Mytilus edulis: one gene and its partners. The main gene of each other region encodes a partner of the protein of the gene in region 2 in a complex. Links are inferred from orthologs where the notes say so. Each region holds a gene or a part of one and is shown on either strand. Other genes may lie near its edges.

Evidence for each region.
Region 1: the proteins of NEDD8-activating enzyme E1 catalytic subunit-like (region 2) and NEDD8-activating enzyme E1 regulatory subunit-like are in contact, whole or in part, in a crystal structure (PDB 3DBR), measured with the Homo sapiens proteins. The link is inferred for Mytilus edulis from reciprocal best matches to the Homo sapiens genes UBA3 and NAE1. Residues at the interface, in NP_003959.3 of Homo sapiens: Trp34, Glu35, Gly36, Arg37, Trp38, Asn39, His40, Lys43, Phe44, Glu46, Arg47, Ser48, Gly49, Pro50, Phe51, Thr52, Phe56, Glu83, Lys86, Asn87, Leu90, Ser91, Val106, Ser107, Leu109, Asn110, Arg111, Phe113, Leu114, Arg116; in NP_003896.1 of Homo sapiens: Glu10, Gln11, Lys12, Tyr13, Asp14, Arg15, Gln16, Leu17, Arg18, Leu19, Trp20, Asp22, Glu44, Lys47, Asn48, Leu51, Pro52, Gly67, Glu68, Ala70, Gly71, Asn72, Asn73, Phe74, Phe75, Gln77, Arg78, Ile81, Phe92, Glu95.
Region 3: the proteins of NEDD8-activating enzyme E1 catalytic subunit-like (region 2) and NEDD8-conjugating enzyme Ubc12 are in contact, whole or in part, in a crystal structure (PDB 2NVU), measured with the Homo sapiens proteins. The link is inferred for Mytilus edulis from reciprocal best matches to the Homo sapiens genes UBA3 and UBE2M. Residues at the interface, in NP_003959.3 of Homo sapiens: His53, Pro54, Asp55, Glu61, Ser62, Phe65, Cys70, Gln149, Asn152, Asp153, Thr154, Arg157, Gln158, Phe159, His160, Ile170, Arg173, Trp174, Ser181, Leu182, Leu183, Asn184, Pro192, Ile195, Val196, Pro197, Leu214, Met217, Arg254, Met255; in NP_003960.1 of Homo sapiens: Lys3, Leu4, Phe5, Ser6, Leu7, Lys8, Gln9, Gln10, Lys11, Lys12, Glu15, Lys21, Gly22, Ser23, Ser24, Lys25, Lys26, Ala27, Gln31, Leu32, Gln35, Lys36, Ile38, Asn39, Glu40, Phe51, Ser52, Asp53, Pro54, Asp55.

What each region holds. Positions count from the first base shown.
Region 1 is NC_092348.1:12,789,639-12,796,909, reverse strand, and holds the start of NEDD8-activating enzyme E1 regulatory subunit-like, read left to right. Parts: upstream 1-4,166; 5' UTR 4,167-4,213; coding exon 4,214-4,272; intron 4,273-7,109; coding exon 7,110-7,213; intron 7,214-7,271. UniProt on the Homo sapiens protein: Regulatory subunit of the dimeric UBA3-NAE1 E1 enzyme. E1 activates NEDD8 by first adenylating its C-terminal glycine residue with ATP, thereafter linking this residue to the side chain of the catalytic cysteine, yielding a NEDD8-UBA3 thioester and free AMP.
Region 2 is NC_092344.1:23,144,560-23,152,313, forward strand, and holds the start of NEDD8-activating enzyme E1 catalytic subunit-like, read right to left. Parts: upstream 3,007-7,754; 5' UTR 2,881-3,006; intron 1,182-2,880; coding exon of another isoform or gene 654-1,181; intron 1-653. Other genes in the region: uncharacterized protein, read left to right, coding at 654-1,181; PRA1 family protein 2-like, read left to right, coding at 3,544-3,722. UniProt on the Homo sapiens protein: Catalytic subunit of the dimeric UBA3-NAE1 E1 enzyme. E1 activates NEDD8 by first adenylating its C-terminal glycine residue with ATP, thereafter linking this residue to the side chain of the catalytic cysteine, yielding a NEDD8-UBA3 thioester and free AMP.
Region 3 is NC_092350.1:42,401,531-42,409,020, reverse strand, and holds the start of NEDD8-conjugating enzyme Ubc12, read right to left. Parts: upstream 3,063-7,490; 5' UTR 2,996-3,062; coding exon 2,887-2,995; intron 1-2,886.

The DNA of each region.
Region 1 (7,271 bases), on a different chromosome or scaffold from region 2:
AAAACTCCAAAAATCAATCACAAACTTCATTTTGTGGTCATTAACTTGTGTTTAAATTTCATAGTTTTCTATTTACTTAAACTAAAGTTATAGTGCGAAAACCAATGTCATACCAATATACGACCGCAATTTTTTGTATATACGACCGCAAAAATTATTTGCTGTCGAATAAAAAGGATACAAAATATTCAGCATTTTTACAATTAAAAAGGGGCATAACTTTATCTAAATTTAACTGTTTTGCGGTAACAAGCATTGTCTATAAGATTTATAACATTTAGTCGAGGAAAACTTTTAAAGTTGTTGAACGGAAATGAAAAAGGAAAAAGTCCGGTAAGGGCTTATTTTGGACAAAAATTCGAAGTAGGTCTGATGAAAGATTGTTTTACATTTTTCAAACACTTTTAAGTGTCTTCTAAATTCGATTCAATTGGTTATTGTAAAAGATTTGGACATACTTGGTCATAATATGCTCAAATTTAAGCTTGAATAAGAAAAATCCATCAAATATGCCATTTAACCTCACCTTCAGACGATTTTTGTTTAAAGTGGAAGTTCATTCGTGTTATCCCTCAACATTTATATATGTTGTGTGTTAGCATTCAATATTATACAACATATATTTAAATATTAAGACTGAACACAAGTGCGACCACAAAAATAGTCTTAAAATTAACACAAATGTGTAAATTATGAAGTTGTTTGCATGGAATAATGACGCTAGTACCTACCGTGTGTCCATTATTATAAAAAACAGTATTTCACTTTCCAATAAATAAGTCATATTTTACAATTTAACAATTTTGTAAAAACGCTTGGAGCAAAAAGGTGTCTTATCGGGCCTACTCCTTTAGCACTGTTTCCGGTTGCAAGGGGTTTTGAGAACAGAAACCAATTTTGGGACGTATATGAATGAATACAGACAATGGTAAACATATAAAACATGTTATCAATTTGTGATATTTTTTATGTACAGATATAGTTTTTCATAATGTCATAACCTGCTGATATTATTATCATAAAATGATCTAATCATACCTGAAACTATATAAAAAGAAAACAAAATGTCTTAGATTCTTGGAGCACGTATGTTTTAGTGCACATGATCTTATTTCATACTCGTAATTATAAATAGAATACGCGTGTGCAAATAACTCAAACTGTGTGCCAAAAATAAAAATATGCCTATCCTTCTACATGAACATCATCAACATCGTTTTTAATAAAGTTATAGGTTAATAGCATAGGGTAAGCATGGTAAGGTATTCAACGTGAAAGATGATATGCCAGACTGACTTTTGCATTCTTACCTTTTTTTATTTTAGTTTCCACGAAGAAAAGGGGGTATTACAATGAAATAATGTACGATATCTTAATTTGATAGTTTGCAACATGATATAGAATTAGACACCAAATATCGAATAAATTTTAAAGCTGAAATATATATATCATTTATGAAATAAATTGATTAAGAAACTAAACTTACTATCTTCGCTGGAAATATTACACCGGTTGTAAAATGAATAAGATGGCGTGTGCCTCTTTCCGCTGCCAATAATGTAATGCTAATTATGGAGAGTAAAATGATCTGGGATTACCCCGTTGCGCACATCTGGAATCTGTATGACACCAGCGGGTTAACATGATAACTGTTTGCTTATCTTTCTTGCTGTGTCAATTAATAACAATAATCTTCGATGTTATTACAAAGGAATTATTCAACAGCCAATTGCAATTTTCGATGTATTTGTTTCACTCAAATCATGTAAAAATTATGTTTTAAAAATGGTTAAATTTAAAACTTAACAACCAAAAGAATTTTAGCTTTGGTTAAGATAGTCCTCATAGTCCTTCGTTTCCAGTTTTTTTAAAAGGGTTTGAAGTACAATAAACATTAAGCTTTAAAGAAAAAAAATCAATGTATCTCCTTTTCAGAGCCAAACAAATCGAACAAATCAATTTGTTTTCACTTTAAAATGTGATATTTCGAAATTTCTCCACAGAATTGTGTTTAAAAATCGGCAAAGTTCCTCTTCAATAATATGAACAGATTTTGGGATCAACACATTTGGTTGATATTTTTATAGAAATCAATAAGTCCCGATAATTTGAGGTGAAACAAGCGCGATGGGACAACTCCAAGGGCGATAGAGTAATAACATGACGGTTTGACGCAAAAAATTCTTGCATCACTCAAACAAAAAAAAAAAAAAAAAAAAAAAAACTAGTGATTATCAACTTATCTTTTATTACAATGCGCCTACTAATTCGCAGAAAATGAAATCAAGTAACAGTTTAGTTGTCTGCGAGTTATATCAGAGCATATATGTACACATATATGTCTCTGGTTAAATGATAAGTAATTTTTGGGATTTATTTTCTTTGCATTCAGTTTTTATACCCCACGCAACGAAGTTGCGGAGGGTATAATGTTTTTGACCCGTCCGTCCGTCCGTCCGTCCGTCAGTCCTGTTTCTTGTCATCGCAACTCCTCTCAAACCACACAACAGAATTTCACGAAACCTTTTCAGATAATAAGGACATACTATGTAGTTGTGCATATCGACAGGAAATTGCGATTAAATTTTTTTTCTGGGAGTTACGCCCCTTTGAACTTATTTACTTTAATGTACTACTGCAACAGTTTGTCATCGCAACTCCTCTCAAACCACACAACAGAATTTCACGAAACCTTTTCAGATAATAAGGACATACTATGTAGTTGTGCATATCGACAGGAAATTGCGATTCAATTTTTTTTCTGGGAGTTACGCCCCTTTGAACTTATTTACTTTAATGTACTACTGCAACAGTTTGTCATCGCAACTCCTCTCAAACCACACAACAGAATTTCACGAAACCTTTTCAGATAATAAGGACATACTATGTAGTTGTGCATATCGACAGGAAATTGCGATTCAATTTTTTTTCTAGGAGTTACGCCCCTTTGAACTTATTTACTTAATGTACTACTGCAACAGTTTGTCATCGCAACTCCTCTCAAACCACACAACAGAATTTCACGAAATCTTTTTATATGAAAAGGACATATTATGTAGTTGTGCATATCGACGGGAAATTACGATTCAATTTTATTTCTAGGAGTTACGCCCCTTTGAACTTATTTGCTTCAAGGTACTTCTGCAACAGTTTGTCATCTCAACTCCTCTGAAAAACACAACAGAATTTCATGAAATTTTGTAGATAATAAGGACATACTATGTAGATGTGTATATTGACAGGAAATTATTATTCAATATTTTTTCTTATACAATTTTTTTTTCTTATACTTATTTAATTTCTCCAATGACAATGTGGGGACGTGGGGTATGTGAGCGTGCTCACTAAGGTTCTTTAATTTTAAATGGAACGGCCCAATTTAATTTTTGGTGGGAGTGTGGCTGCATGGACTCGTAATACAAATGTACATGGTGGCCTGGTCTTGAAGAACTTATTTTTTTTTAATGTATTCAATAAAGGAATAACTATGAGAATAACTTAAGCATAGTGGGACGAGGCCGATTTGTATAGTCTTACAAAGTTCTATGAGACAAATTCATTTCGTGTGGTCAAGGATTTATTTATATACATGTAGTATATGTAGTATATGAAGAAAAAATAGAATATGGTTTCGTTTGGTTGAATCATTAATAAAAGTAAAAAAAACGAAATTATGATTCGTTTTAGCAGCTAATTTGGTTCAATTTTGTTAAATTACACAAAGAAATATCGCTGATGAATCACTTGCAAGTGAGTAAATCTACCTTTATAAACTCGTATGCATGTGACCTTCAATTTAACCCATTGGCTAGAGATTTGTTACAAATGCACAAGTTATGTTCATTCATTTAAAGGAAAAGAATGTCAACATTGAAAGTGAAACAAAGGTTAACCATTTCGTTGACTGATTCGATCCACACAAAATCATATTTTTTTTCGAGTAAAAACGATAAATAACATATTTGTTTATTTTACAACATGAAATCAAACAGACCTATAATATAAAATTGTATGAGGTCGGAATCTATTTATGTAATTGTTAATGTTTCGATAAACATGAATTTGTCAGCCAGTGCAACTTTAGGATAATTCATATCCGGAATGTCTGCATTATTGTTCCGTTAATGTTTAATTTTTAATTTTAATAACTGCATCCCTGTTTTTATTACGTTCCTGTCCCCTGCCGGTAATTGATCTCAGGAGAAACCAGAAAATGGCAGACACCAAAAAAGTTGTTATCGACAAGAAAAATAAATATGATAGGCAGTTGAGGTTAATATGTTAAATATAACTTAAGAAGAATGGTTGTACGAATAATATACTTTAAGTTTTAACTGTATAGTTTTCTGACATTTGATTAATTCATGTCAGAATGATACGGACGGACATGAGTATTTTATTCATCTTAGTTTCTTACTAATGTTTATGGAAGGAAATGATCATGATGATGTCTAGCTTTCAGAAGGCCAGTATCTCAAATGCAATAGCAATGTCTATAAAAATTAAATAAAATATACTATGAGACTTGGAAAGAGAGGGCTGAAAGAAAACATATAAAGTAAAGTTTGTTATAAAAATGCTGAGACACTCAGGCAGTACGAAAAAAACTTCAGAAGATTTATAACTTTCTTTGATGACATTCGCAGTGTACCATCAATATTCCATATCATCAGTTAAACATACTACCATTCCTTATAAAATTGAATTATCATACAGTCTGTGCCAAACTGTATGATGGTTTGTCTGACCGAAAAAGAAATTTGACATTTTCTGCTATATGTTCAACAGAAAAAAAATTTAATTTCTGTCTGACCGAATGATTTTTTGTCTGACATTTCTTCGGTCAGACCATGGAAGTAATATTTAAAAGGAATAACATCGAGTAATTAGCATGTATTAACGGCATGTAGAGCCCTGTACTAAAGTCATATGATTTTATCCAATTATAGTCTCAGCGGTAAGACCCCTTTGGTTACTATCTGTGATAACGGACGAGAATTGTTCAAACTACAGCAGTTTAACATGGAAAATTGTATTTAATTTAGCATATTTTTGCTTTTTTACCGTTTGTTTTAAACTGTTCTAAAAGTATTTTTCGGTTAAAAGCGGATCCTGAGTTAAACAGATAAAAACCGATGAATCGATCAGGTTTCACATGATGTTTATCAAAATAATGTAGGCAAATGTAGGCATAGATTTTTTTACTGTTGAAATGTGCAAAGTTAATCGAGATTGAATAAAAGAATATTTACTTTCAAGTATTCTAAATTTATGTATATGTCATAAATGTCATTGATTGCATTATTGAAACTGGACAACTAAAATGGGGATAATATTTTCGTAAATATATATTATTATGGAATGCTTGTATTAATATAATAAGCTAAACAGCAAAAATTATAACAAACCGACGAAATGAGCTTAAATCTATCTGTCTTACGGTAAATTAATTTTTACACAAATTAGTTTATGTATCAAGAACTTAAATTGAAGGATAGAACCGTTTAGAATTGTGAATATTTTAATTGACTATAAATACACGAAGGATTTTGATTTTTTCGTATTTAATAAAGGGGGTCCAAAGGTATTTTTTTTAAGCTGAGAATGTTTCTTTGATATTAACCTCATACCCAAGCTGTTTGGCCTTACATGTACTTTTAGATCTTACGGTCTTTTTGATTCTACAGAGTACAGTTACCAGGAACTCCAAACATTAACTTCTAAATTTTGTATTTAGCAAGCTACATTCATGTGTATACTTTAAATATTTGTTAAAATGTTAACATTGTATCACATGGGAGCAACCACTCAACTTCAAAGACCTGGGGTGTTATGGTTTCAGTGATCTGGAAGGATTTTTCTCAATGGGCCCAGGGCCCCCCCAAAAATAAATACAAAGGGCCATTTTTAGAATTAATGGGCCATGTTGTTTAAATGTTTCAAAACAAAGAGAAAAATATTGTGCGCCATGTGGGCGCTATTGTTTGTCACTCTATGTTAATACTAGAAACAGACCCATTCGCTCCTTCTGCACCCTTATTCAAACATTTAAACTGGATGAAAGTTGAATGCCAGAGAATAAAATATCATAAGTTAGTGATGACATTTAAGTGCATTAAAAATGATGCCCCATCATATCTTACTAACAAGTTTCATTATGTTTCAGACAGAAATCCATACCCCTTGAGAAATGCTGTTCATAATAATAGTCTTTTATTCAAAAGCAATACAGCTTATAGAATTTTCAAGGAAACCTCATACTCCCTAAACCAAAAACAGAATTGTTCAAAAAATCTTTTATGTATTCTGGATCATTCTTGTGGAATAATTTGCCAATACCGTTAAGAAATATTACAAATGTTAATTCTTTCAAATACAAAATAACAGATCATTTATTGAAATCAACCTAGGTGTATCAATAATATTAAAAACTAATCATGTCATCATGTTTATGTTTGTTCATCACATTTTATCAAGTTGTATTAAACATTATTATCATACTTGACTTTTTATTCTAATGTATGCAATGTATATGTTTGCATTTTGTTTGATTTCTCATGATGAGGGCCTCAGGGAAGATTAGTTATATAGCTAACTGTGTAACCCTCTTAAAATAAAGTATTGTTGTTGTTGTTGTTGTTATGTGCCATTTCTAGTCGATAAGCACAATTTGCGCATGGTGCACATCCTTCCCGATCACTGGGTTTTTATTCTTAGTCAGAATTGTTTATTGTGCAAAGGGGGATCAATTTTATTTAGTTTTACAATGCTATCAAGTTCAACCAGATTATTTTGTTCAATATTCTACATTCAGCATATTTTATTTAGTCATCTGCTTAAACAGAATACTTTTTTTCATCAAATTGGGGATAAGAATATTTTTTTGGAAGAAAAAAAACATACCCCCGTCCTCCCATCCCTGTTGAAGTTAAATGGTTGTTCTTTAAAAACATTTCTGGAAGTAAATTTCAGATTGTGGAGACTGCATAAATTTTAAAATTCTAATTTGTAATGTCAATTTGTGTGTGTTACCGTGGTTTGAATAAGATCTCTAATAAACATTCATAAACTTTTCCTTTTCCCAATTAATATATATTTTTTATTCGTAGATTATGGGGAGACCATGGACAGTCTGCCTTAGAGTCAGCATGTGTCTGTTTGGTCAATGTATCAGCTGTAGGAACAGAAATTCTTAAAAATATGATATTACCAGGTAAAGTAATCAATAACTTCTTTCTAATGAGTGACCAGGTGAGATTAAAATGGCACTG
Region 2 (7,754 bases):
CATGGGGGGGTTCAATTTACCATAGCGGTATTTTGACCCCGGGGTCAATTTACCATGGGGTTCAAAATACCATATGACACCGGCATAGTCTATGGTCCGCAAATATAAAAAATCATCAAAAAGACCTTAGGAGGGTATCAGGTCCGTTTGCGCCCAATATACTTTCGCACCCTACACGTTCGCACCTCGCACGTACGCACCCAAGGTCCGTTCGCTCTCTACACGTTCACGCCCAATTTTAATTCAAATTCCAGTTGAATAATTGGAAAATCATAGATTGTTGTTTTTAATTGCTTTCGTGTAAATACTGAATATATTTATAGCTTGGTATGAGTAAAAGATTGAAGATTCTGAAACAATAAAATATAGCAATACACTATTATAACCAAAACATGATAAAATTTATTCAACACACACAAAAAAAAAAAAACGTAGTCAGAATCTCACTTCATTTTGAATCAAGTCAATGAAACAAAGTTACAGCAATACACTAACCAAAACATGATTAAGAGTTATTCAACACAAAATTAAACGTTGACAGAATCCCACTTTATTTAGAAAGGAATATCATTTTTATCACAATACACTATCCAAAACATGATTAAGATTTATTTAACACAAAAAAAAATGCTGTCTCACTTTATTTTGAGACAATGAAAACAATAATACTTATAAGAACTATAAAAATTGAAGAACCATCAGAAGTAACCAGGCAGGATATAAAACGTGCAGCAAGAGAAAGTGTTTTAAGAAAATGGCAGAACCAATGGGAATCAAGTCAACGTGGCAGAAATTATTATAACTATCATCAAAAAGTTTGTCAAAAAATACCAAAAGATTTACCATCCAAATGGTCGTTTTCAATTATTACTAGTTTGAGAACAGGTTATTGTGATCTAAATGATTACAAATCCAAAATCATACCATCAACAGACAAAAATTGTTCCTGTGGAGAGCCAGAAACTGTAGAACACTACCTTTTACATTGTTCTAACTATGAGGAGGCTAGAGAGAGGATGAGAACATCTATTTACTTCATAACAGGAAATATACATATGGATTTAGACACCTTTCTAGGAATCGATGAAGAAGACATTAATAGAGACAATCGAAATGAGATATTGTGCCATCTGGAAAATTATTTAACGGAGTCTGGTAGATTCAAAAACACTATACAGTAAAAAACACTATAATTCTAAATCAAAATTAAGTCAAAATTTTTTAAGCAGCAGCCACCATTTCAATTAATTACATGAGTGAACATTACATATGCAGGGCCGTAACTACATTGAGGCAAATGAGGCAAATGCCTCATGTTTGAAATTTAAAAAAAAACCAAAAAAAAAACAACCTGAAACAAAAAGATTGTCAAATTGTTTTGACGGAAAGTGTCAGTCTTGCAAGAAGCCAGTTCTCTTCACTATCTGGTGTAGCCCTTCATGTTTTTCGTGATCCATGTTTCTATTTTACGTTTAGTTATCAGAGTTGATGGTCTATTATTGTGTGTACTTCTATGTCCCGTGTTTGTCTTTTGTTAATTTATTGTCCTACTTAATGACTATAGTCTGAGTGTTGATTTCATTTGTAAACGTGTAGTTTTGCAATGTTGCATGCCAACCGATGTCCAGACAATGTGCGAGAAATTTTAAGAATATATGATGCTACAAGACACAGAAATGAATCTTTGTTTCTGCATGGAGAATTGAACTTGAAATCAAAGAGAACAAAACTGGCTTTTTTCGTAGATAAAACTAGAAAGCTGACATGGTTGAAATTGAAATATGGTTACCAATTCCACGGTATCAAAAAAATTGAAAAAAAAACAACAGCAATGTATTGCCATATGACCTTTTACATTGAAGGGTTACCCTTGCATTAAGTCATGTTCAGACTCTTTTAAGAGAAAAAAAGGAATATTGAGTACACGTGCACGGAACCTAATCGCACACAATGTCAATGTATAGAAAAATACGAATGATCAATTGTTAAAGTTTAATTCCTGTTCTTTATCTTGATAGTTGCTGGATGGTCTCCAACAATAAAAGAATCATTAAAATCGTAAAACAAGATCAAGATGGTCCCTAGTGTCGACTTTAACAGTACTAGTACTTAAAGTATAATACTGCACTGTCACTATATTTAAATCTAGTCATAAAAAAATCACCAAAGTCTAAGTACAATACAAGACAGACAGATTCGGTATTAAGGATTATGAGAATTACGATTTTTGCTTTATTCATCATATATATATCGATCTTTTTTTAATGTTATCCCTAAAACCTGAAAGTCTTAAAATACAATGATTTTTTGTTATTGCTATGAGACCAGAATATTGTTGAAAAAATAGCTCAGAATGCACGATTTTGCATTATTTTTCTCAGAGCGTCTGGGGGCCTTCAGCGCCCCCCCGACTCCTAGCCAAAAATTTTTCGCCTCGCTACGCTCGGCGAATGTTTTGCCTCACTTGTAAAAGAGGCTAGTTACGCCCTGATATGTGAAGAAACTACAAAAGAGGAAACGTAAACAAGTGTTTACAGTGTCATTTGGGACACTTACTAAAGACTAAAGATTGTACTTGCCAAAACTTGATTACAAAGTTATTAAACACAAAACTAATTAAAATTGGGCGCGAACATGTAGGGTGCGAACGGACTTTGGGTGCGAACATGTAGGGTGCGAAAGTGAAAAGGGGCGAACATGAGTGGGTGCGAACGTGAATGGGTGCGAACGGACCCGGATTCCCTTAAGAGCAACATAGCTAATTCCAGATCAAAGATAGGTGCAACTTTGAAAAGAAAGCTGAAAATATCAGATTAGGAAAGAATACAGGATATCTTGTTCCCTAGAAAAAGCTATATCTGCTTCGTATTTCACATGTACCTGTTTTTTCGTTTTCTCTGTTTTTATGATTCTTTTACCGGTTGTTGTTACTTGTTTTCTTGAATGTCATAACAAAGATCGAGGTGTTTCAAACGTTAATATCATTCGGATGCTATTATTGACAAGTAGCTCACACGATTTCAGAAGTGGCTACATCGGATGTCATCAGTAGTAGTACAAAGTTAATAAAAAAAATTGAAACAAAATTTAACCACAACGTACATAAATTTAGGCACTATACAGTTGCGTTCCAGTACTATAATTAAGCTTGATTTGAAATAAAAATTATCATAATATATTTATTTTGATCTAGTATTTATTGTGTAGTTATGTTTTGTAAGAGAACCGTTTTATCATTTTGTTAATTTTTGAAAAGTTGTAGCGTTTTGTTATTTGAAATGCTGTACAAGAATTTGTTGTGCAGTATTTGATTCTATATGGATACAATCTCAAAGTGTATAGTTTTTTAAATTGTTGCTTATATCATAACAAACAAATTAAAAAAATATATATATTCATATTTGCTTAATAAAAAAAATTCAAGCCTTTTGTTTATTTATTTTTAAAAATATTTGTACAAAAATAAAATAAACATAACATGTATTTCACCATTTGTATCAGTGTTGATATTTTAAAGCTCCAAGCGGCCTCTAAATTGACAGCATGGCTGAAGTACAGATTGCTCCTCTCCGTTCCATGAGTGATTTTGTATTGGACTCTGCTAGATTTCAAGTTCCTAACATCAAAGACGCAGAGAAATGGGCGAACAGAGTTCTGAACAATCTATTGTATTACCAGACGAATTATTTTCTGGTAGCTTTGATCGTCTTTTTATTGATTGGGTATGCATACAAAATCATTTAAAAAAAATATTTGTGAAACCGGTTATACTTTTCACCTTTTATATTTGTTTCAACTGATATTTGTATTGTCTTTAAACATGCGATCCAGCGTCTTAAGAAGACTTAACTTGTTAACCAGTCAGGGACTTACTTAAAAGTGATTTTCTAAATCACTGATTCAAGTAAATTGAGTAACAAAAAAAAAAACTAACATTACATTGTATGTCCACAAAGGTTGGAAGTAAGAGTTGTCTTTCTTTAATTATCACCTTTTTCAAGAAGTTCAAATAATCACTACACTACATGGTTTAATCTCATTCAGGGGTTTCATGATCTTTCATGTCGACTGGTACTTTCCCAAGGATCTCCATGGCCTGTTTAACGATGGCGCCCCACCATCGTTCAAATGTCTTGCGCCACTGTCAAATGACTCGCGCCATCGTTATATTGTCTTGCGCCATCGTTAAAATGTCTTCCGCCGTCTTTCAAAACTTCATCGTTTTTTTGTAGCCAGACGCCATTTTTTTATCAATTATAATCAAATGCATGTAATTGCATAACCCTTAGGCTTTTTATGTTATAATCCAATACAGTTCTAACGCCTGAGGGATATCTGGATTAAGATCGCTAATCACTTGTAATGTAACTGAGCTTGTACAGGTACATGTAGATCAACAAACCAGACAGGAGAATACTATCTGAGGATAGACGATCCATTTGTCGAATTAATCAACTAAGTTGCAGCAAATGATTATGATAATTTAGATTAAATAAATAAATTAATAATCCAGTTACAAAGAAAACAGTTTAAAAAGTCGAACACATGCTTTATTTTGACTTACGCAATCAGCATCCCTCTTTTTTAAGAAGTACAAAATAAGACGCAAAACAGTGAATATTATTTCATCGTAAATAACTCGAGTACTGCTGTAACAACAATTTAGAATTACAAGTTTAAAAGTAAAAACTTAAATATTTCCTGTGAAGAAATATCGTATCGCAATTCAGAATTCATTTCGTTTATTACAATCAAATTGATACATACGCGTTTCCGGTTTCTATTCAGATTCGAAAGATGCATGTTTCACAGCATCAATTTGCCAGATAAAGTCATTAAAAACCTTAACATTTGTCAACGTTTGCTTTACAAATCTCTTTAACTCTTAACATAACCCGTACGAACCGTTTTGTTAATTTGTTGCTGCAAATCAGCCATACCGGTAATGGGTTCTGAATTTGACAGTGTCCATGAAAAATAAGCTCCACATCATATGATTTTTAGCCCCCATAACAATTACCAAAAATACAAGAAATCTACATGGGGACCTTCATGACAGCTTTTGGTCATTCTCGACTAAGGGGGGACCATGAAGACTTGGCATTTGAATGGTTAAAAACGGCAATGAATGAAAATATTGATACTTCTAATTCTATAATGAAAGTTCAAATAAATCTATACTATTAAACGAGAAGACCTCATTTTGGGTGTCGCTTCTCTTCCTTCCACAATAAATCAATCATCATGCCTCTGTGTCCTATAGGTAACATGCATAGTCGCATTTGTCATCCATTCTTATGATTATTCAGATTGAGTTATTTTGGGAGAAAAACGACAAAAAAGGAGTCCGGATATGATTCCGTCATCAGACTGACTTTTAGTCATAGATAAGACTTCCGGTTTGAAACATGCACAAACACAACCAATCTTATGATAGATAACAAAAAATGAAAAATAAATAAGCCTATCAAATCGTTCTCCATGTCATGGTGTTTAGATCGCAAGAACCACAACTATTATAATACCTCCTTATAGAGGACAATTATTTTTCGCGTTTATCTACATGTAAACTACAATTATACTACTTTAATATATAGAGACTCTCTGTATTCTGTCTACTGTTTTTCTTTCAATTGTTTACTATTTAAGGGGTCATACCAGTTGCATCTATACTATTAAACGAGAAGACCTCATTTTGGGTGTCGCTTCTCTTCTTTCCACAATAAATTAATCAACACGCCTCTGTGTCCTATAGGTACAGTGCATAGTCGCATTTGTCATCCATTCATATGATTATTCAGATTGAGTTATTTTGGGAGAAAAACGAGAAAAAAGGCATCCGGATAATGTCCCGTCATTGGACGAAATTTTAAGTCAGATTAGACTTCCGGTTTGTGTTTTTCTGTATACATGTACTTTGAACAAATATACAAAGAATAAAGTGTATTTTCAGAATTCTATCTGCTATCATTTTCAAGTTTACTATCTACGGCGATCACAGAGTTTATTAAAAAATAATAATAATAAATAGAGAGGGTCTGTATACTCACGTGTGTTTACTATACCAATGACCACCATGAATCGATTAGTAAACTTAGAATTGAAAGTAAATAAACTATATTTATATAGTTACTGTAATGAATGTTCATAATATACAGATAAGCGCTATAAATATTCATGTGAACTTTTGATACCTTTTCTAAAATTCTCCAGTCATTAAATCTTTTACAAAATTCATTGATTACAAAAGAAAAAGAAGATGTGGTATAATTGCCATGTTGAGACAACTCTAGATAATCGCTAAAAATATTCATGTGAACTTTTGATACCTTTTCTAAAATTCTCCAGTCATTAAATCTTTTCATTGATTACAAAAAAAAAAGAAGATGTGGTATGATTGCCATGTTGAGACAGCTCTCCACAAGAGACCAATATGACACAGAAATTAACAACTATAGGTCACCGTACGACCTTCAACAACGGGCCTTATTTGTGCACAAAAAATGAACGAAAAACGAATATGTAACACATAAACAAACGACAACCACTGAATTACAGGCTCCTTACTTAAATGTTCATAACATACTAAATGTATGTTCATATTGAAATTGATAGAAAACCAAAAATTGGGAATTTTGGAAATAATGACTTATGATACTTTTGCTGAAATTCTCCAGTCATTCAATATTTTACAAAATTCTTCCAAAAAACACTTTACATACTTTAAACTACGCTCTGAATGACCGCGATTTCGCGGGTGTGTTCTAGTATAATTTAAATAAGCAATGAATTAGCATGTTCACCATTCCTTGTATGGAGGGATAAAATACTTCCGATCGCGCTACACTGTACAACGTAGACACGGTTTGTAATGGTGAAAGTTCCTCCATCGTTCAATTTTCATCCATGGAGATCCCTGCTTTCCACGTTTCTAGGTGATACTTTTCAATTTATTCCATGAATATCTTATATAAAAATTCCTACATTTAGGCGGTACTTGTCAATAGCATAGGAGGGTAAAAGTACCGGGTACCGCCTCCTAATGAATGGCCTGCTCATTGTAGCTTTAAATATGCAATACAGCAATAGACTCCAACTGATCGGATATCGGCTATTGTAATATTATTTCCACATGTTCAAAACATCAAACCCTTCCCTATATGTTTAATGTTAATTTTATCGTGTAATCAAATATCGGATGTAAAAATATATCGGCAAATAGGATAAGAGTATTCAGGAAATTTTTGTCACAATTTTACAACAAAAATGAGATGAAAGACATACATGTATGATTTTTATTGTATTTATTGAAAGATAATATGTAAACAGTTTCAGAATAGTTATGACTTCAAATTCTACTTTTTGGCCAAATTTTTGTGGCATCTTTTCCCCCTTTTTATACGACCCCAAAAATTTAAAACAAAATGGTCATATATTAGTATCACGTTGTTGTCGTTGTCAGCGTGTCTGAGATAGATGGTTTCCTGATAATGACTTAATAAGTATAATAAGTAAATAGAAATCAATAAAATTTTATCACAATGTTTAACCACATAAGGAAGGTTGGGATTGATTTTGGGGGTTTTGGTCCCAAAGCAGGGTTGGCAAAAACCCGGGTTTTATGAGTATTGCCCAGCCCAGTGGGTAATACTGGGAAAACCCGGGTTTTACTGGGTCTTAGTGGGTAATACTGGGCAATACTGGGTAATATAAAATATTTGTCTGAATTTTAAAGAGGATTCAGTGATAAACAC
Region 3 (7,490 bases), on a different chromosome or scaffold from region 2:
GCAGTTTCTTATGGGGTACTGTGTCAAAAGCTTTTGAGAAGTTTAGTATGGCAATATAGGTTTGAAGTACTTGGGTTTCGCATAAGTAACCTGATCTAAAACCATGGTTTAAAGATGTTAACACAGTATGCTTTTCTAGATGTTTCATTATATGCCTGCATATTATATGTTCCAGGATCTTACATGGTACTGATGTCAACGATACAGGTCTGTAATTTTCAGCAGCGTGTTTATCGCCTTTTTTTTTAAACGCATGATACATGTATGTTTGCGTTTAGCCAGTCTTGAGGAAGGGTTGCAGTGTCTATAGATTTTTGGAAGATTGCTGTCAGTTCTGGTGTAATTTGACTTGCACATTCTTTCAAAATTCTGTTTGAGAATCCATCCGGTACAGAAGCTTTTGATGGGTTGACATCTTTTAGCAGTTTTTCTAGTCCCTTTTCTGTTATTATGAGGTTTGGTATGGTTTCCTTAATATGCTTTGTTGTGTCTGGTATTGTTGTGGCTTTATCTATTGTGAAAACTGATTTGAATAGCTGTATTAGTATTTCAGCTTTCCCTTTACTGTCGCTGATGAGTTTCCCTTTGTTTTTTGATGGGGCTACTCAACATGCTCAAATGTTGTCATTTTTTCTGGATTTGTTGTATTTCTGGAATGGCTTGGTGTTGTTTGATTCTAGGCCCTTTAGTATGGTGTTGTTGATATATGACCATTCAGCTTTTCTTATTTGGCTTTTGATTTCTTTTTGTAATTTGACCATTTTTTTGTTCTTTTAGCTTGTTGCAATGTTGGTATAATCAGCTTTTCTTTTTGAACATTTTCCTTATTTTGAGTGTTATCCAGGGAAGGCTGTTTTTTGAGCGGATTCTTTGGCTGGTATATGTTTGTCCATGCTTTGGAATAGTTCTTTCTTGAACGTGTCACTCATTTCTTGGACATTTGAACCTTGTTTGTACATCTGTTTAATTCTTGTTGATGTTTTGGAGATGTCTTCATATGCAACGTCATCATGCATGGTCACTTTTTTTCCTGACGTCATAATAGAAAAATTCAGAAGAAAACAAAACATTTTGACATCATAATCACATTTCGACTTATCATTTACCGAAAACGGATATCTCACTAGTGAGGAAAAATATTTTTCTCACACCGATCAAAATAGCACAAAAATTAGAGAAATGTTAATATGGGGACGAAGTCCCCAATTACGGTAGAAAAATCAATTATTAAAAAAAAAAAAAAAAAAAAATCGGGAAAATTTCCCGAATTTTTCATTCTACTAATGAACTCAAAATCGTTAACTTTTTTTTTCAGATCTAGTTCCTGTTCCGGTTTTCCCCGCTTTGCGCAGAAATCTGTCTTGTTTGCATGAGACTTTGAAAAGAAAATTATATGTATCAGTCTAGTAAAATATAAGATTGGAACTCAATACAATTTCATTTTTAATAATTGTTTGATTTTATTATTATTGATTTTAAATTAGTATTAGATTATGTAAGCAGAATTGAAAACAAAACATTAATTGAAGAAGTAAAAATATTTTCGGACAGTCAAACAGCAATTGGAATCTTAACATTAAATTGGAAAATTGAAAATAACAGATCCACTTCACATGAAATTATTTCCCTTATTAAATGTATCCAAAAACACCATGGAATAAGAATTAATTTTGATTGGACCCCAGGACATGCAGATGTTAGAGGAAATGAAATAGCTGATAAACTAGCTAAAGAGGCAGCTAAAGAGGCAAATCAAATTCAGAAAGAAGCCCATATTACAGTAACTAAACAAGATATTAAAACAGCAGCAAGAATTTTAGTAAATAAAAAGTGGCAACATAGATGGGATAATAGTGATACAGGAAGATTTTATTATAACTTTCATCAGACTGTCAGCAATAAATCGACATTTAATTATCCAGATCACAAAACAGCAAAAATTATTAGAAATTTAAGATCCGGATACTACCTAAAAAATTATCAAAACAAAATCAATCAAAATATAGACCCAAAGTGTGAATGCGGTCAATTAGAAACTGTGGAACATTATTTACTATTTTGTGAAAATTATGAAGAGGCAAGACAGAAACTTATACATGAGATATACTTCAACACAGGATCGTTACATATTGATTTGGAACTTTTATTGTCAATAGAAAAAAACGACAATGTCTCCGTCTCTAATGAAACACTAATGCGATTGTTGGGTGACTTTATTTGCGAGTCGCGCCGGTTTGATTAATGTAATGTTAGATTTTTTTTATTTTTTTTTTCTTTCTTTTCCTTTAAATTTTCATGTTAATTAATAAATGTAGATATATTTTTTAATTTTTGGAAAAAATATGTTAAGCACAGTTGCCACCTAATAGTATGTATTTTAAAGTACAAGTGAGTTGTTTACCAGAGTGAAATATTAATACACGCGAGATTTAAATAATTACAAGGGAGACAATCCAGTGTCAACAGCGACACCTACAGAATACAGAATACAGTTTGATTTGAAAAAAACGTTACCTGATGGAAGCGTTTCTTTTGTTTACATTGAATATGACGTCATAACTTAAACAACGTCACAGCTAAATCCCTAACCACAGAACCGAAATCGGGAACGTTACGGTATTTCAGTTTCCTTTATTAACATGTTTGAGGTAAAAAAAAAAAATAATACATACAGACTTCGTCCCCATTCACAGGTTATGCCTGCCTCATATTATTCCATGAAATACCAAAATGGTCAGGGTACTAAGTGGTTTCTGTCAGGGTAAGAAATGGGAGTACGAAAGGTTAAGGGTACAAAATGACTTTAATTCCCTCTTTATGGCATTACTCAAATCAATGGAATGTGATAAATTCGTTGAATTTCTCAGACACTATTTCTGATTTCACCTTTCTGTATTCTCAACTGTGCAGCTGATGCTTTTTTCTGTGTTCCTGATTTTTCTCCACCATCGGTACCGTCTTTTTTCGCCTGTTTTAGTGAAAACAACTTAATCATTTTGGTCTTCTGTTTTTTTTTTTTATTGTGAAAGTACCCAGTGCGTAATAAAGCACTTCCGCTTAAAATTTCGTATGATTATCTTATTGGCGAAAGATAAAAAAAATACTGACAGGCTTCAAATTAAAAATAATTCGTACATTTTTCCTATTTGTCAAATAAAAAATAAAAAATATCCGAAGACAAATTATATTCTAAATTTTGACTTTTACACCGACTTCCGGTAAACTTCATTCCTTCCTTGGCAGCGAAAGGTAAACCTATTTTGTTACTACTATTTCCTTGCTAGAGAATTACGACGCAAATGTCATTCATGTTTTGTTAAATAAAACAATTAATCAGACCACAATGTTTTAAAATAAGTAATCTTTACCTTTCAAAGATTAGCCGATCAAGTTTTATGAACATGTAAATTTCTGTTATTTTAACCTGGTAACACTATAACAGTAAATAATTTAGTGAGTAAAGTTTGATTGAGGTAGGAATTGACTCTACACTCCAGCGTCAAAGGTTATTTTTGGCTACCGTTAGCTTCAAATTGATGTCAGAATATCCTAAATATCGAGATTCCTTAGACATTTCAAACTACATCTACATTTACGACGATCCATCAGCACATTGATGACTATACGTCGGCGAATTGTAAACAGACATGCACTTAATAAAATATAATAACTAATGAATGCAATAATTAAAAAATAATTTTGTGCAAAAACAAAACAAATTAACACATTTACATATTTACAAACAGGTTCATGGATATCTAAATATACTGACTCTGCCAGTCTCTGGATCAGTATTTTAAACTGATCCAGGGAGTTAACACTGATAACGTTTTGTGGAAGTGCAGGGTTCGAAATAAGCGCTATCCCATTTGCCCGAGGCAAGTAAAATCTGCAGCGGGCAAGTGAATCTCATCACATAGTTGTCCGCCGGGCAAGTTGAAATTTTGTGTTTGCGTTTCATTCTATCATGTCAATTAATATAATAATATATGCAATAGGTCTTAACCATTTATTGTTAATGAATTTGTGCCAATAAAATATTTGTATAACTATGTCAGACGTAATTTTGTACGATGTACAACTGTGTATTATTGTATTACTATTTTCGCCCTCTTTATTTATTTCATATGCGCATGCCAGGAAAATCGTAAACATCGTAGTTTGTCCCGAATAATTCTATTGGTCAATTCCTATGCGTAAGCCAATGAGCGCCGTCGTTTTAGAATGTTCAGTCGCACCTGCTCGGGGATTTCCGCTACTAATTGTGAAAGGAAGTCGATACAATGATCCAATCAGAACGCGTTTTGCAAACGACTTTTGAGTTGATTTAAAAATGAAAGTAGAAAGAAACAAATGGAAAACTTTTTAGTAAATTATGTCCCCCCTTTAAAAAAACTTAAAGAATCCAACGTCAACAGGGTTGAGCAACAAAAAAAATATGAAGAGGGAAAAAGAAAACGTAAATTTTTAACAAAATGGCTGGATGAATTTAAATGGCTGAAAGACACAGAAAAGGGGATGACATGTGAGGTTTGCGTTCAGTTTGGAAGTAGTGGCAGTTTTGTAATAGGATGTACAAATTATAAAAAGGACAATATACATGCTCACGAAAAGTCAGACATACATAATTAAATTAAAATATTCTCATCCACTTCTATCTTAAATTCTTTACCTTTATAGCTGAGCATACTAAATGTGCTCATTTCTGCAGTGAACAATTACCTATTGTTATTTGAATTTGTCAGTTAGTTACATAAAGAGTATTAAAGACCAGATGCACCTAATTCACTAGGAACAACAACAGCAGCAAACATTCAGAGGTCACCACAAGGTCTTCAACAGGCTGACTCTCTTTACAAAATTAAAGGTTTCAAATTCATTCAATGTAGAAACAAGCTCTTATAGTATTGCTGTAAAATGTAAAATAAATTATAATTGCATTGTTTAGAATGAAGCATATTTTTTACAGGAAATTTGACAATTGGGTCAGTTTCTACATGTACATCTGAAATTTTTTTGTCACTTTTTTTTGTAAAAGTAAAAGTTTTTGTTTAAAAAAGGGTGTATAGAAACTTGAAATCATCTGCCAGGAGAGGTCTAGAATGCAGGATTTGGCACCATTTACCCCAGACCCCTCGCCGTAAGTGCGCCGAGCTATGCTCGTTAGTCGGGCAAGTTAACAGATACAAGGGCAAGTTAATATACATATTGACTTGCAAGTCAATGGTCTTTTCTTATTTCTACCCCTGGAAGTGAGTTCTAAAGTACAACTGTGAATGGAAAAAAGCTGTACTTCAAGTAATCTGTTCTTGTGCTAAATGTTTGGTACATGTATTGTAATGAATTAGTGAATGTGGTGTTATTGACTGGCTGTGGTAAAAGGTAAAAGTTTGGATCTACTGCAATGAGATGGTGTGAGATTTTGTACAGCATAGTTACTCGCTTGATGTGTCTGCGAGTTTCAAATGACTTCCATTGAAGATGGTCAATCATGGAAGTTACACTACTGGTGTTGGGGTACCTGTTGGTGACGTAGCATGCTGCCCTTCTTTGTACTTTTTCAATGTTGTTTTTTTGTTTTTGGGTGTGAGGTGACCAAACTGAAGAGCAGTATTCTAAATTCGAACATACCAAGGATTTGGTAAAATCTCATGTGTGAGTTCGTGGTCTAGTGGTTAAGACCGATGGCTACAGTGCTGAAGGTCCCGAGTTCAATTCTCACTCGGGGTGCTAAAAATATCAGTACATCAGAAGGGTAATTTTCACCCTCTCACACACATCTCTGGTACCCACACCGGAGTTTAAACTAGAATGGGTACTTTGGGGGCCTCGGTTGGTCAAAGTTGTCCCCTACTTTGACCTGGAGATCAATCTTCTGATATCTCTCTGGTTTGTCTGTTTCCACTGAGTGGCCCGGTGGTTCTCTTCGAGTACTTCAGCTTCCTTCACCATAATAACAGACTTCCCGGTGTCCTACACGCTCCCTTGGGCGGTGTTGGGTGGGGATTGTTCTGGTGGTGGGATAATATTGTAAAGGACACATCTCCATTAATCCTTAGGGAATTTACATGGATCCGCTGTACCCTTGCAGTCAATCAAGGGGTGCGTCTAAATTGGCGGAATCTCGAGTACATACATACATTAGGCAAAAAAAAAAATTCACTCTGTTTACAGTTACCCGACCGACCCTAAGCCATTTTATTTCCGTCGTAAAGTGAAAAATTAATAGAACTTGTGTCAAAAGCAAAGTAAGGATTGCCAATAAATTTAATCAATTGCCTGGTACATCCCAATGTTCACAATCGTGAAATTCTGAATATGACAGCTGTTTTAAGTTAAGGAAACTCGCAACTCGTGTAATGAAATAAAAACTTTGCCGCCTTTTTTTCTCCAACCAATACATACAATAACAAAAGGAAATAATTCAATCATTAAAAATACAGGTTAACTGAGCCCATGGACAACTCAAACCACCTTAAGACGGACCACACAACTCAAAATCATGGCGTAAAAAATAAAATGATAAAAAATAATAAAATGGAAATACCGACCTACCTACCCTATTTATTTTGATGATGTAACCTTAAACAGACATATATTTTTTTTTGGTCTTACCTTATTTTTGTGGTAAAAAATTAACTGGATTTCTTGAAATCAGTCAATTTTTTATTGTTTAAAAGAAATTGTACATTTTACCATCATGTATTAAAATTTACCATTACATGTAACATCATTCCAACATTAATTGAGGATTGTCGATTTTCTGTTTGATGGTCTGTGGTTTTCTTCAGGCACTCCAGCTTTCTCCACCTATACGCCACAAATGAGTCCGAAAGTGGCGCTTAAAAGTGGTGTTAAAATACCAACAATCAATCAATTAATCTTAATTGCCACAGAATCAGAGACAGGGGGATTACTATCTTGTAGCAGCATCAGTATGAAGGTAAAATACCTGGATGCTTCATACTTTGTATGCCATGTATGCAAATCCTTCATGTTACATAAAGGATTTGTTGATCTGAAATGGCGTTAAAACACCACCAATCAATCAATTAATCTTAATTGCCACAGAATCAGAGACAGGGGGATTACTATCTTGTAGCAGCATCAGTATGAAGGTAAAATACCTGGATGCTTCATACTTTGTATGCCATGTATGCAAATCCTTTATGTTACATAAAGGATTTGTTGATCTGTAATGGCATTAAAACACCACCAATCAATCAATTATTCTAATGCAACAACGTTTGTAACTTTCATTTTGATTGGATAACATCACTTTCTTACATGGCATCAATTGACAATTGATGCTATGGGACGTATGCGCAAGCGCAGACGGCATATGACAGATTTTAAATAAATGATTTAACGTTGTTTTCTGTCAGTTTCATTAGAATGGAAATAACAATATTGTATTTTAAGCTCCGACGGCATCAATTTTAGATTTTATGGTCGCAAATACCCGTTTACTGTCTCCGCTAACGTGTCGC